Linked DNA regions of Rattus norvegicus. The protein of the gene in region 3 interacts with the protein of the main gene of each other region in a pairwise test. Links are inferred from orthologs where the notes say so. Each region holds a gene or a part of one and is shown on either strand. Other genes may lie near its edges.

The links.
Region 1: the proteins of Klhl2 (region 3) and Bcam interact in binary tests that used the Homo sapiens proteins (3 or more experiments, as listed by UniProt). The two-hybrid records come from large-scale screens. The link is inferred for Rattus norvegicus from reciprocal best matches to the Homo sapiens genes KLHL2 and BCAM.
Region 2: the proteins of Klhl2 (region 3) and Txndc12 interact in binary tests that used the Homo sapiens proteins (3 or more experiments, as listed by UniProt). The two-hybrid records come from large-scale screens. The link is inferred for Rattus norvegicus from reciprocal best matches to the Homo sapiens genes KLHL2 and TXNDC12.

Annotation. Positions count from the first base shown.
Region 1 is NC_086019.1:88,554,445-88,558,703, forward strand, and holds the start of Bcam (basal cell adhesion molecule precursor), read right to left. Parts: upstream 2,915-4,259; 5' UTR 2,906-2,914; coding exon 2,842-2,905; intron 961-2,841; coding exon 839-960; intron 1-838. UniProt on the Homo sapiens protein: Transmembrane glycoprotein that functions as both a receptor and an adhesion molecule playing a crucial role in cell adhesion, motility, migration and invasion.
Region 2 is NC_086023.1:128,815,239-128,819,459, reverse strand, and holds the start of Txndc12 (thioredoxin domain-containing protein 12 precursor), read right to left. Parts: upstream 2,915-4,221; 5' UTR 2,768-2,914; coding exon 2,677-2,767; intron 1-2,676. UniProt on the Homo sapiens protein: Protein-disulfide reductase of the endoplasmic reticulum that promotes disulfide bond formation in client proteins through its thiol-disulfide oxidase activity.
Region 3 is NC_086034.1:29,625,672-29,630,066, reverse strand, and holds the start of Klhl2 (kelch-like protein 2), read right to left. Parts: upstream 2,831-4,395; 5' UTR 2,536-2,830; coding exon 2,510-2,535; intron 1-2,509. UniProt on the Homo sapiens protein: Substrate-specific adapter of a BCR (BTB-CUL3-RBX1) E3 ubiquitin ligase complex that mediates the ubiquitination of target proteins, such as NPTXR, WNK1, WNK3 and WNK4, leading most often to their proteasomal degradation.

The DNA of each region.
Region 1 (4,259 bases), on a different chromosome or scaffold from region 3:
TGACCTCTGGAAGAGCAGTCAGCGCTCTTAACCTCTGAGACATCTATTCAGCCCTCAATGGTCATCCTTTCTTAAAACCTTTTTTTTATATTAATTTTTGTTATATGTGTGTGTGTGTGTGTGTGTGTGTGTGTGTGTGTGTGTCCATGAATTCGGATACCCGTGGAGTCCAGAAAAGGGCATCAAATCCCTCAGAGGTAGGGCCACAGGCAACCGTGAACATAGGAGTGTTGAGCTCAGGTCCTCAGGAAAAGAACCAAGGGTTATTAAGTGTGGCCCATCTTTCCAATCCCTTGGCCTTCTCCTTGATTTTTATATTGCATTTTATACCTCAGTGGGGTTTGACTTCATAGACCCTGAACTACCCTCATGGTTGTCTGGGATTCCAGGCCTGAGAGGCTGTCGTTTCTCTCAACCCTCTGGGCCCATCCATGTCCTCTCTCCTGAGTCCAGCGTTCACCTTCTGTTCCCGTGTCTCCTCTGTCTCTCTCTCTCTCTCTCCTTGCCCTGTCTCTCTCATTTCCTCTCCTTCCCCGTTGTCTCTGGTGGCCCTCACTCCAGCACTGTGTCCTAAGGGGAAACCACTGCTCCCATCTGCCCTGCTCAGACACCTGGCACCTTGCAGAGGCCAAAGCCTTCCTAGGTCTCAGCCTCCTCATTGGTGAAGTAAAAAGGCACCTTCCGATGGCTCCGTGCAAGGTCTTCTGAGCAATCAGTGTAGGCAGAGCTAATGGCTGCTAAGGTGACCAGGCTACTGGACCCTCCTTCCCCACTCCTCCCCTCCTCTCCTCCCCTCCTCACACCCTCCCAGCCCTGGCCTCCAGCATAGAGCACTCACAAGCAACCACTCCAGCACGTAATTCTCAGGATGCTCCCGTGGTGTGCAGTCCAGGGCAATTTGCTCCCCTCGCATCACCTCCACCCGTGGGGGAACGGACACGTGCAGCTCAGCCTGGGCACCTGCAGATGGGTGCAGCATCGAATGTCCACCCACTGCCATCAAAAGGGATGGCCCTCCAGGCCCCAGCCTCCTCCATCAGATAGGAGTCTAGGCTCTAGCCTCCTCCCTCAGACACAGATCCTCTCTCCGTCCTTGGTCCCCTCTGAGCCTGAGTCCTGTCAGTGTCTTTCCAACTCTTCTTTTTAGAAACAGGGTCTTACCCCATAGCCTTGGCTGCCTGGAATCCTTCGGGCTATGTGAACCAGGCTGGCCTCGAACTCACAGAGATCTACAGCTGCCTCAGCCTCCCTCCTGAGTGCTGGGATTAAAGTCCTGTGCCATTGGCCCAGTCTCTCTGACTTGTAAGGCTTAAAGTAAAGCTTTCTCCAGCATTCCAAACTAAAATCTGGCTTCTTTTCTAGCAAATGTCCCCTCAAGGAAGGGCCAGGCCTGGCTCTCCCCTTGGCCTCCAGCGCACAGAGCAAGACTTGGCCTGGGGCTAAATAACAAACAGGTCTTTCTCCATCTCAGTCCCATCCTATCTCTTGATCCCATCCTATCTTCTCCGGTAGCTCCTAGGGGCCCTCTGCTCTCTCCTGTGTGGGGGGCTGGGGTGTGGGCTGCAGCTGGGCCAGAAGCTGGATGGGTGTGTGGGAGTGGCAAGGGGGGACAGGGCTGGGCAGGTTTCAGGAATGTGGGAGGGCCAGGCTGGCTGAGACCTGCCCGGCTTGGCGCCAGAGCCCCCTACCCGCCCCTTGACAACCCCCCCCCCCCCATCTCTATACCAGAGAAGCTTGAAAAGGGTGAGGTGAGTCACCTGGGCAGAGGGGCGAGGCTGGGTCCTGAGGGAGAAAGGGCCGGAAGCTTAGACTCCTAGATGCCTGCAGCAGAGCAGGCTGGATGTGGGAAACAAGGACCTCTGAGTCCTAGGGACCTGGGAACTTGGGTCTGGGTTTCCTGTCAGGGTCTGGCGAGTAGCATGGTTCTTGCTGAGAATCTACCCTCTGGGCTGACACCATTCTTTTTCTGCTCAGCCTGGCACAGGCTACTCGTAGGTTTCCACTATATACCACGTTTGTGCCAGGAGCCTGGTTTCTCAGGCACCCACCTCTGGCCCCAGCCTGTCCCTGGGGAGCTGATGTGGGGCCAGGCTGGTGCCCCGGACTGGATGTGAGCAGCAAGCAGCAAGGCAGACAGAGATCCTGTCTTCCTTGATCTCTCTTCGCCTTGTCCACAGTGTCCCTCAGTCCCCGTTTCTCCTCTCCTTTCACCACATGCAGGTGTGTGGATTTATCAGGGGCCCAAGGAAAGGGGCCCTGTCAGTCGGAAACACTTTTCCACGTTCTCTGCCAGGCTCTCTTCTCCCGGCCCTTTCAGAGAGAGGCGGGTCCTTTAGAGACAGCCTAAACTCTGAATTTTGGGGAAACCCCAATATTCTAGAAAGTGCTCTAGCCACAGGGTCCCCAGTTTCTCCGAGGAAACTCTGAGCTTAATCATTTAGAGACAGCTCTGGGATGTTAATCTTCGGTATCTTAGCAGAACCTACTTTGATTATGGGGGAGGGCAGGGGCTGGACTCTAGTCTAAAGGACTAGGGACACAGATCCCAGATTCCAGGTACCCAAGGTTATTAGGGGTCGTAGGGCTTAGATTCCAGGATTCCCGAAGGGCTGGGAAGGGAGCGCTATCTCAGGTTGTGTTTGCTCCAGAGCTGGGTTATCCTTAGCATTCAGATCCGATACACCCCAAGGCCTCCCCGCCTTCCTCCCTACTGGGGAATCCCTAGATTGTGCTCCCTGGGGAAATGGAAGCTTGTTCCCCTTGTCTTCTCCGGGACTCCAGGGGCCTGCCCCACAAGCCCCAACCTCAAGTTCCAGCTCTGCCCTCAGCCGCAAGTCATACCTGAGTAGCCCGACAGCAGGAGGGTGAGCCACAGTAGCCCTGCGCGGGCGTCAGGGGGTTCCATATTCCCTGCAGTGGCGGCAGTGACTGAGCCCGGGCGAGGCTCTCCGCCGCCCTGAAGCTGGCAGCGGAGGCCAGGCCCCTGACCACGCCCCTGACCACGCCCACCCCCATCTCCAAGCTGGGCGCAGGGCCAAGACCTCCCACTGCCCTGAGAGGACCTCCCACCCTCGCGCGCGGGGACCCGCCAGCAGCGGCGCGCGCTCTGCTCCATCCAACCCATGCCCGCGGCTGTCCTCCGCAGCCATGGGGACCGCCCGATCAGTCTAGTTAGTGCCCCGAGCTGGGATCTAAAAGACACCGCGCGGAGACCCTCGGTCCCTTCCTTCCTGGCCACCTGCGGGACTTTGACACGCATTCCCAAGGTGGCTTGCGGCCCTCGGCTGCAGGTGGATCTTTTCCCTAGTTTGTTTTCTTTTTGGAGACGGGTGTCACACTGTAGCACAGGCTGGCCTGGAGCTCACCGCAAGCCTCCGTCGGGTCTCAGTTTCCCAAGGACTGGGATTACAAGGGTGAACCATCACCCTGGTTTGTGAACTGTCGGCTTTGATCAACAGTCCCTGATATGATTAGTTGCCTGTGCTAGCCTCTCTTTGTAGTTTCTCCTGCATGACCGGCTCTTCTCTGAGTGCCCTAGGATGCCCTCCCCTTGGAGCCAGCCACCTTGCTGGGAAGTGCCCCTCCTCTGACGGAGCAGTGGCTTGGAACTGGTCAGGTCATTCTTTTCTCTAATGAGTTTTCAACTCCCAGTCCTGGTAAAGCTCTTTGGTGATGAGGTGGGGATGGGGTGCCCCTCCCTCTGCTCTGCTCTCCTTGACTCCCTCACTTCCCCCCATCCAGGGAATCCAAGGAATGTCACCCCCCTTCCGCCTTCCTTCCCTCCCCGCCATTCCTTCCCCACCTTGGGGGGAGGGGAGGAGAAGTGGGCTGGTGTGGTGGCAGGTGAGTGGTGGAAGGAAAGAGAAGAGCCGGCCACTGGGGCCGCTGGATGGAAGAGAGGGTCACAGGTCAAAGTAAAGGGTCACAGATCAGTCTACTCCAGGATCCTCACACAGCCGAGGCAGTGTGGAACGAAATCCCAAGAATGTTGGATGGGGGCTGGAGAAGGACGGTTCTGCCTCTGTTCAGCGGGTAGAAACTAGCCTGGGATACGGGTATGGATGAGGGGGTGGTATCACTGTGGGTCAGGCTGAGAGAGGTCTCCCTCCCGTTTCTGACCAGTCTGAGGGTGACCAGCGGTGAGCTTCCCCTCCCCGGGAGCCAAGGTTTTACCCATCAGCCTCTGAGGAAAGGCTTGTGTTGTAGGTATTGACTGGGCTCTCAAAGCTGCTTTAGCATTCCCTGACACAGGAAGTAAT
Region 2 (4,221 bases), on a different chromosome or scaffold from region 3:
CTATTGAGAACAATGAACATGTTTTTGGACACTGGAATGTTAGAGATGCAGGGCCCTTAGGACACATTTCTAGTTCAACTCTCACTTAATAAATGGTCACCGGGGAAGACCAGAGCTGACTAAATGGCCTGACCAAGATTAAAATCTAGGCCTAGTAATTCCAGTCTAGTGCACACCATTCCACACCAACATGCTTCCTCTTCATAATGAGAACTGTTGGGAGAGGGTAGGAAGGGGGTTATTCCTTGTCTCCTCTCTGCAAACACCCAAGGTGTCTTCTGGAAAGAGCTGGAGCTATTTAGACATCTTGGAAGAAACGACACTCATCAAAAATTTCAGGAATTCCTGCCTCAGGTAGCACTTTTTACTTTTTTTTAGGCAGGGTTAGTATATTTCTTATGTCCAAAGAATCTATACATAAGCAATACATAAAACAAACACTTTAAATGGCATTAATTCCTTTAGTTTTCAAGTGTGTGGCATGGTATTCTGTCTTTTGCTTTTTCTTTCAATTATCACAAACTAGCTCTCCCACTTGAGTTCCCTGGAACTCACCAAGATCCACTCACCTGCTTCTACCTCAAGTCCTGGGATTGAAGGCTTCGATATATTTGGGAGTTGTTTATTAGGCAATGATGCTAACTGAACAACACAGAACTTACTGTCTGACAAAGAACGGATACTCAAAAAACATTTCATAATGTTATATACACTCAACACAGTCAATTGAGCAGGGCACGCTACATGTCGAGTGTCTGAGGTAACAATCACACCCATTTTGCAGCTGAGGAACTGAGGCTGTGAGAGATTAAGCTGCTTGTCACAGGCATCTCATTTGGACATTGGCAGAAAACATTGAAACTCAGCTCCGCATACATCCTAGCACTCCAGTCTCCCTCTGTGCTCACAATTTTATTCCAAGTACAGAGCAGCCTGTTTTACAAAAGAATCACCAGTATTTGAAACATTTGACCCACTGTGCAGTTTTTAGCACTTCCTTCATAGGTAAAAACCCACAGATCATCTTAGAAAAACTTTTCCTCAAAAAAGAGAAAGAAAGATAAGCTTTTTTCACCTTCCTAATTCAGGTAAATGCCAGCTCCCTTACCCTCTTCAGCCTTTTTACTTCCCAGTCTTTTAATCTGTCATGAACCTGGGTGTAAATATACACCCAATGAAAGCAAGAACCTTGTCTGTTCTCTTCACTGCCATTTCTCTAGTACTCGAGCCAGTGATCAAACCATGGTTGATGATCAGAAATCAATCCTGAACAGAGGTGACTCCATTTAGGTCCACTGACTTTCCACTCAGTCTCATTGGCCACCAATGAATATAAAATTAAAGAGCATTAAAAACAAACAAACAAACAAACAAACAAACAAACAAACAGGGGCTGGAGAGATGGATCAGAGGTTAAGGGGACCTGTTGCTCTTCAGGGGATTCAAGTTCAGTTGCCATGTTAGGCAGCCCACAACTGCCTGTAACTCCAGCTCCAAGGGGACTGACACCCTCCTTCTGACCTACTCGGGCCACACATTTACTTACACACACACACACACACACACACACACACACACACACGCACACACACACAAAATAAACCTTTAAAAAATCATGATTGGGCCTAGAGATGTTTCAGAAGATAAGAATAGTTGTGAAAACAACTTTAGTAACCATATAAACGCCTGGCACGACAGCTCATGCATGTAACCCCTAACATTAGGGATAGGATCCCATGAGTTCACCGGCCAGCTCCTCTAGCCTAAACGGTGAACTCAAATTGAATGGACTGTTTCATAAGGTGGAGAACAAGCAGAAGAGGAAAACACCCAACATCCTCTTCTGGCCTAGTCATGTGTGTCGTGCACCACAAAACGCATCGGCAGATACCACCACCAACAGCAGAATCCCACACAGTAAGGTCAGAACACAAAATAATCAAAGCAGGCTTGGAATCCATTTACAACTCACCCAGTTAGTCAATTCAGCTGCCTCCCCCGCCCAAAAAAGGACTGATGATGAGAAGGGGTTCAAGTAGGCAATACACGGATTTGGGGGTTCATACTTGCTAACCTTCATTCATAACCACTGATCCATCGCTCTAAAGAAATCAGTTTCTTCCAACACACTAGCTGAGCCACACAGAGAACAACTGTTGGTAACCTAGCAAAAGATCTACCCTTCATTTGGCTCTTTCTTTTGCATCTCTTAGAGAATCGGGAACCGGGTCTTGTGGGGTAGGGAGAATGTGGTGAGGAATCTTCAGACTCCAGCGACTATGTGATACACAGGTCACCAGAGACCCTTTTTCTTCTAGCGGAAAGGTGACGGTTCCTGAGGGCTTCCCAAGCGACCTTACTTCTGGCGGGAAGGTGACGGTTCTTGTAGGCGTCCCAAGCGCCTAACATGACACATGAATGGACTCCTAAACAGCCTAGTTCTAATTTAAGGGCCATATCTTCCCAAACCCAAGAATTAAGAGCGCCCTCAAGTTCAACTTCCTTCTCTTAAACCCTCTCCGGGACCTGGTACTCCCGACCCCAAGAAATCTCCCAAAAGCAGTTGGGGAAGATAAAAAGGAATCTGAAGTGGCCTAAGATACAGCGAGAGCAAAAAGTGTTAGGACAAGAGGAGGCCCGGGGTCCGTAAAGATTACAATAAGAACGAGGTCTGACCCTTTCCAAGCCCAGTGCGTCCGTCTGAAGAAGTGATGAGGAGCAGGAAACTGAAGCTCAGCAAACAGGTGGCCCCGAAACGAAGCGACATCTCCACTGGGGTAGTTGCACAGAGCCACCGGATTGCGGGAACACAGGATTTCCAGGAGAAGCTCCCCTGTGCCCTCTTATCGCCGCTCAGCCCAACCCCTCGGATTCCCAGATTTTTTTCCTCTCCAAACACCGAAGGAAGTGATGTTAGACGGATGTGGGCGGTGCCTCGAGGGTCCGCTTTGGAATGGAGTAAGTTTAAAGGTGCAGATCACGTAGAAGGATGGAGGAGTACATCTCGAGTTTGCTTTCCCTAAATCCTGGATATCCAGGCCTAGGGACACAGCCGGATGAGGTGGGCCGAAGTGGTGGGGGCTGGGGAAAGGTTCGGGAAAACCGTTGTTAATTACGTCTGACCTCCACCCTAGCCCCTCCCTCCAGTGGACCACTACACTAAATATTCAAAATGCAAATTATTTATCTGTGATATTAGCCTATCACAACAAAGGACTTGGAACTTCCCGCCCCCTTGCATAAAGTAAAAATACTGGACAACAGCACTTCATTGTTAGATTTCTTCTGTTTGGGATTCCGAAGAGACCCGGTAAGCCCGTTTTGCTGTGCACGCGTCTGTCCATGTCTTGCAGGCGTGCACTTTGGAGGAGCGCTGGACCCTTTACTATCCCTCGCATCCGCACGACTTCCACTCAGGCATGATGCAACCAACTGACATAAGCTCCAAAGAAACCATGTTTGGGGCCTCTTACTGCACAACTGACGAGGAAGTCCGAGGGAACTGGGACATAAGTCACTGCAAGCACGTAAAGGGCAAAGCTTCTTTCCGTTAAATCTGTTGCTTTTGGTCTTGGGTCGAGTTACTCCCTAACAAGTCAACATTCCCGACTTTAACCTTCTGATACTAGTGGAGTCCATTAGTGAAGGACATCCAAAGTAGACACCCAAACTACATCCCACCCGGCCCTTCGGTTGAGTACGAGACAAAAGGTATCACAGACACAATGGGACGCTGAGGTGTCCGCCACCTCCTCCAGGAAGCAGCGCGGCCCCCTCACCGGCCGCCAATCAGAATATTGGGGTGCGCGAGGCAGTCTGGGCTTTGTAGTTGGGAGGCGCGCGGTTACGGTACCCACCCTCTCCCCTCCTCCCGCGGTCGAGGCGGGGCCGTGCGTCACGTGGGCCTCTCCCGCCGCCGCCGCCGCTGCCGCCGCGGTCTTTCTCTGTCTCAGCTGAGGCAGCCATCTTGCTCTTGCCGCGTGCTGGTGTTAGAGGACCCTCCCCGCTGCAGGTGAGACCCCCGGCGGGCCCGCCACCCCACGGCCTCCGGCCGCTGCGCACGGTCTCCCCCCGCCCTCCCCTCTCGACACCCGCCGTCCGCTCCGGCTGCCACTTCCGCCGTGGCGCGGCGAGTGGGGGCGGAGGCGGCCGGCCGGGCCTGTCGGTTACGGGCGGCGCAGCTGGGGGTCGGCACCTGAGGGATGGTCCCCAGCACCACCG
Region 3 (4,395 bases):
TTTATACTCAGGTATGCAAAAAGACACCTGGAAATGTGCCGTCCAGTGAGCGACCAACGAGACCTCTCAGAGGACAAGAAAAAGTTGGAGGCAGAGCAGAAAAGAAATCTAAATGAGGAACTACTAGTCTAGGCAGAGATGCCTAACACCCCTCCAAGACAGCCTAAGGGGAGAAGGGTGGGACCAGAGAACAATGTAGCCTTGACTCTTAAAACAGAAGCCCAGACAAGCATTGTGAAAAGTGCCAGGCAGAGACAGGCATCCAAGAATTTGCACACTGAATGAATTACTCCACAGACACACAAAGAATTCTGAGTCTGCTTCCAATCATATTATCTAAGGCCCTTTAAGTCCAGGTCAAACATCTTTCTTTGTGCTGAAGCTCAGGCTAACACTCAGTGCTTATAAAGAGCTGAGTGCTCCCAGTGAGTGCTCCTAGACTAGCTCTGGCCAGGAAGCCTAGCACAGCCCCTCCCAAAGACCTCACCTACAATTTCTTACAGCAGACAGCATGACCCAAGGTAAAAGGGAGTTAAAGGGAACAGAGGCAAAGAAACCAGAAGGTAGGAAGTCAAGATCCGTGTCTATTCTACAGAAACCTAAGCGGCAAGGTAACAAGCTCTAGAAGAGAGCTTGAGTCTTGGATCTACCTAATGCAAATTAAATGTCTGTGTTTTTAATTAAATGCATGCAAACAGCGAAGAGGTCTTAGCAGCTCTCCAGCGACTTGACTACAAGACGTTCCACAATTCTCCACCTCAGCACTCCAGGTTTCCTCCACTACCTCAAGCCTCCATCTAGTTCCAGAATCATACGTGTGACGTATCGGCCTCAGAGAACAGAGCTGGTCATCTACTCAGTTTTTCCATTTAAACCATTTTCTATGCCTCCTTGCTCTAGGGCCTGTTTTCCCACACCCATTTTTTTTTTAAACCTTCATCGTAAGGTCCTCTTGTTCTCTCCAGTTCAGTCTGCTCCCAGAGGGGGAAAAAAGACTGCATTTAATCGACAGAAAAGTGGGGAGGGCAAGCTCACCATAAGTAACTTACTTACCCAGCCTATATCACACACAGCATGTCATCTATATGCAGAGTATCTTCTGCCATCAGTGTTCCTGAGGCTGGTCAGAAACCTCCTGTGTTGGCACTAGACTCAAGCTGCTGAAGCCCTCTACCAACATGTTTCCCAGGGGGCTCAGAAGGCTTTCCCAACCTTCTGGGGAGTGTGAGCAGACCACGCAGCCTCAAAGCTGCCACCATCTGCAAGCTTTTTCTATCGTTTCTATCTGCCCAGAAGGGGCAAGCCAAGACTCACCCACTCTTCAGGTCCCCACGACCTGTTCCACTCAAGCTCAAAATCCTGTCATGCACATACAGAAACTGTGGTTCTATCATTCCATTCGATCTCATAAGAGGACTCAAAATACAAAATACAGAGAAAAGAAATGTTCAGTCCAAACCAAATATCCTTATTTTAGCTGTAATCCTGCCAAAGAAGCCACAAGAGGCTGGGTGAGGAGCAACGGTGATAGAGTGAACCTAGCTAGCCAAATCTCATTGAAAACCGATAAGGTTCTATGAATCAGATCGGATGAAAAGGTTCACCCTTTTGGGGGGAGAGGTTTGTCTGCGGTTTAAAAAGTCAGATCCAAAGGGCTCTTTACTCCTTCATAGAGGTTAAACTCGTGAAGGTGGCGTGGGGGGAAGGGGAAGCACCAAACGTTCAAACTCCTGAAGATTTACAGGCCACTTAAAAAAAAAAATTCAAACCTTGTACCGAATAACATCTTCCACATGATTTCTTAAGCTCTTGTTTCTAGAAAGTAATTTTGTTGCAGGTGATCTTGAATGCACTTGGGCACCAAGGAAAAAAGACACCTGTGCCTAACAGGTCGGTAACACTACCAACGTGCCCCGGGTACCAAGGGAACGAGAGATGCTCTGATTTCTGGATAAAAGATTTTCTGCAGTGCCAGGTAGGCGATCACATGCCCTAAAACGGCCGCAGCTCATTTGGAGTGATGTAAAAGCTCCTTGGATATTAATTTTATTAGAAATTCCAAGAAGCAAGCAACCTCAGATTGCATTCATTTTAGACTCCAGGCGTCTGGTACTTTCCAGTTTCCTGTGCATCCTCTCGCTCCCCCACTAGAAAGGGGTAGGCGAGATGGGCAGCAGCAGCCCGTGCATTAGGGGGGTCGGGGGGATACCGACAGGGCGATCGTAGCCCACCCACCCCCTCCCCGCACACACACCCGCCATGCCCCACGCACAGCTCCATCCCGAACGTTCAATTCGCCCCGGGACTGAGAAGCCCCTACCCACGCCTGGCCGGCTAGGCAGAGTCCGGTCCCGCGGTCGCCCTCCGGACTGCGGGCGCCGCGCCCCGTCACGCCCCGCGCCTCCCCTCGCCCGCCGCCCCCCGCGATCGCAGCGTGTCCTCCGCAGCGCCGCGCGCCCTCCGCAGCCGTACAGCCCTCCGCCGCGCGCCCGGGCGCCCGCTCACTCACGCGGGAGGCAGCGGCGGCGACTCCATTGTGGCTCCTCGCGGGCTTCAGAACGCAGGCACCGACCGCCGCCGCCAGCACCATACCAGCCGCGGACGCCGGCACTGTCCGCCCGCCCAGCCGTGTTCCATCCGCCCCGAGGGGGCGCAGCGCTCCTCACCGCGCGCCACCACCTGCGGCGGCGGCCCCCGCGGCCATGGCCCGTCGGCCCCGCGCGCTCGTGTGCCTGGCGCGGCTCCCGCGCTCCCCCGAGTGCAGGGCGACGGCGGCGGCGGCGGGACGGGCGGGCGAGCGAGCGGTCGAGCGCGCAGCTCGGCCACTTCCGGGTTCTCCCGGCCAGCGCCGGCGCCGTGACGGGCGGGCGCTGCGGCCTCCCGCGGCGGAGGGACCCCTCCCTCGGCGCCGCCCCTTCCTCCGCGGCGTCTGGAGGAGGCGGCCGGCGGGCGGGCGAGCGAGCGCGCGGGCGGGGGGGACCCGGGACCGAGGCTCGGAGATAGGAGGCGGGGAGGGCTCGCGCGGAAGGGGTGCTCGCCTATGCGCGGCTTGCTCTGATTCACCGGTGTATTCACATCCTTCTCTTGGCGTCGGAGTGCCTTCACCACCCCCGGGGGAGTGGGGATTGGGGGAAAGGGAGGGCAGACCAAGTGTTGCCCTTCCAAAGGAGGAAACCGAGGCAAGAAGAGATAGATCGGCCTGACCAAGGTCCCAAGCCCGAAGCTAGCGGGCGTCTTTTCTGGGTCCTAATCTGGTCTGTGGACAACTGAGATGAGCATCTGCTAGACTGAGCTTGGGGACGTGACTGAGCAGACGTGGGTCGCTGAGCCTAGCAAGCTGCCCTTCTGAACGTGATAAGAGAGACAATGAGCCCAGGATGCCCACTGGGAAGATGAATAAATTTCAGTGAGATGGGGTGTGCTATATGATGAGGAATGGTCAGGAAGGCCTCTTGGGTATCAGTTAAACGAAGATGAATTAACATGAACCTTCACTAACTCAAGATGGGTGAATGCCCAGGGCTAAGGCAAAAATCGGTGAAGATTCCTGTCAGCAAGACGCCTTGTCATGTTTGAGACTAGGCAGGAGGGTTCCGAATTCTGGACCAATGCCTGTTAGAGGAAGGAACACCTGGGAATTTATAGAGATGGGAATTCTCCAGTTCCATCCCAAACTTACTGTCTGGGGAGCAGGCTGGGGATAGAGCCGGGATTCCTGGCTTAAGGAGTCCTCCAGCTGGTGCTGGTGCCCACTGAGGCCTGAGACTCCCTGTGTAGCTGAGGCAGTGTGAGACCATTACTGGCCAAATGGATCCTGTGAGCTGTATAAGTGATACACTGGGGAGGGAAGGGAGCAGTCAAGATTAGCCTAGCCAGAACGAAAAAGAAAGATGGCTGCACTGGAGTCAGGGGCGTTGAAGGAAGTGGTCAGATTCTAGATGATAAAATGCCCAGTAAGAATTCCTGATGGATTAGGCTTCAGAAAAAGTAGCGTCCGGAATGAACTTCAATTTGGAGGTTGACCCACGTAGATGGTATGCATGTACAGTCATGAGACTAGTTGACATAAGCTCTGCAATGTAGTTACGGAGAGGAAGACCAAGACATGATCCCGGGGCACTCCAACATGAAGAAACTAAAACTAAAAGGAGGGTGAGATGCATCTTAGGGATAGAGCGCTTGCCTGGGGGAGTGCAAGGTCCCATTCCTCGCACTGCCAATAAGTACAAAAATAAAATAGTACCAAGAGGGGTGGAGTGTGCCCATAATCCCAGCACTCTGGAAGCCAAGAAAGGATACTCACTGGTGGCCTGTTTTAATAAAAGAAAATAATGCCTTTGCCGTGAGCTAATGTCTGCATCCGGAGAGCATTACTGATTTACCATGCGGAGGGCC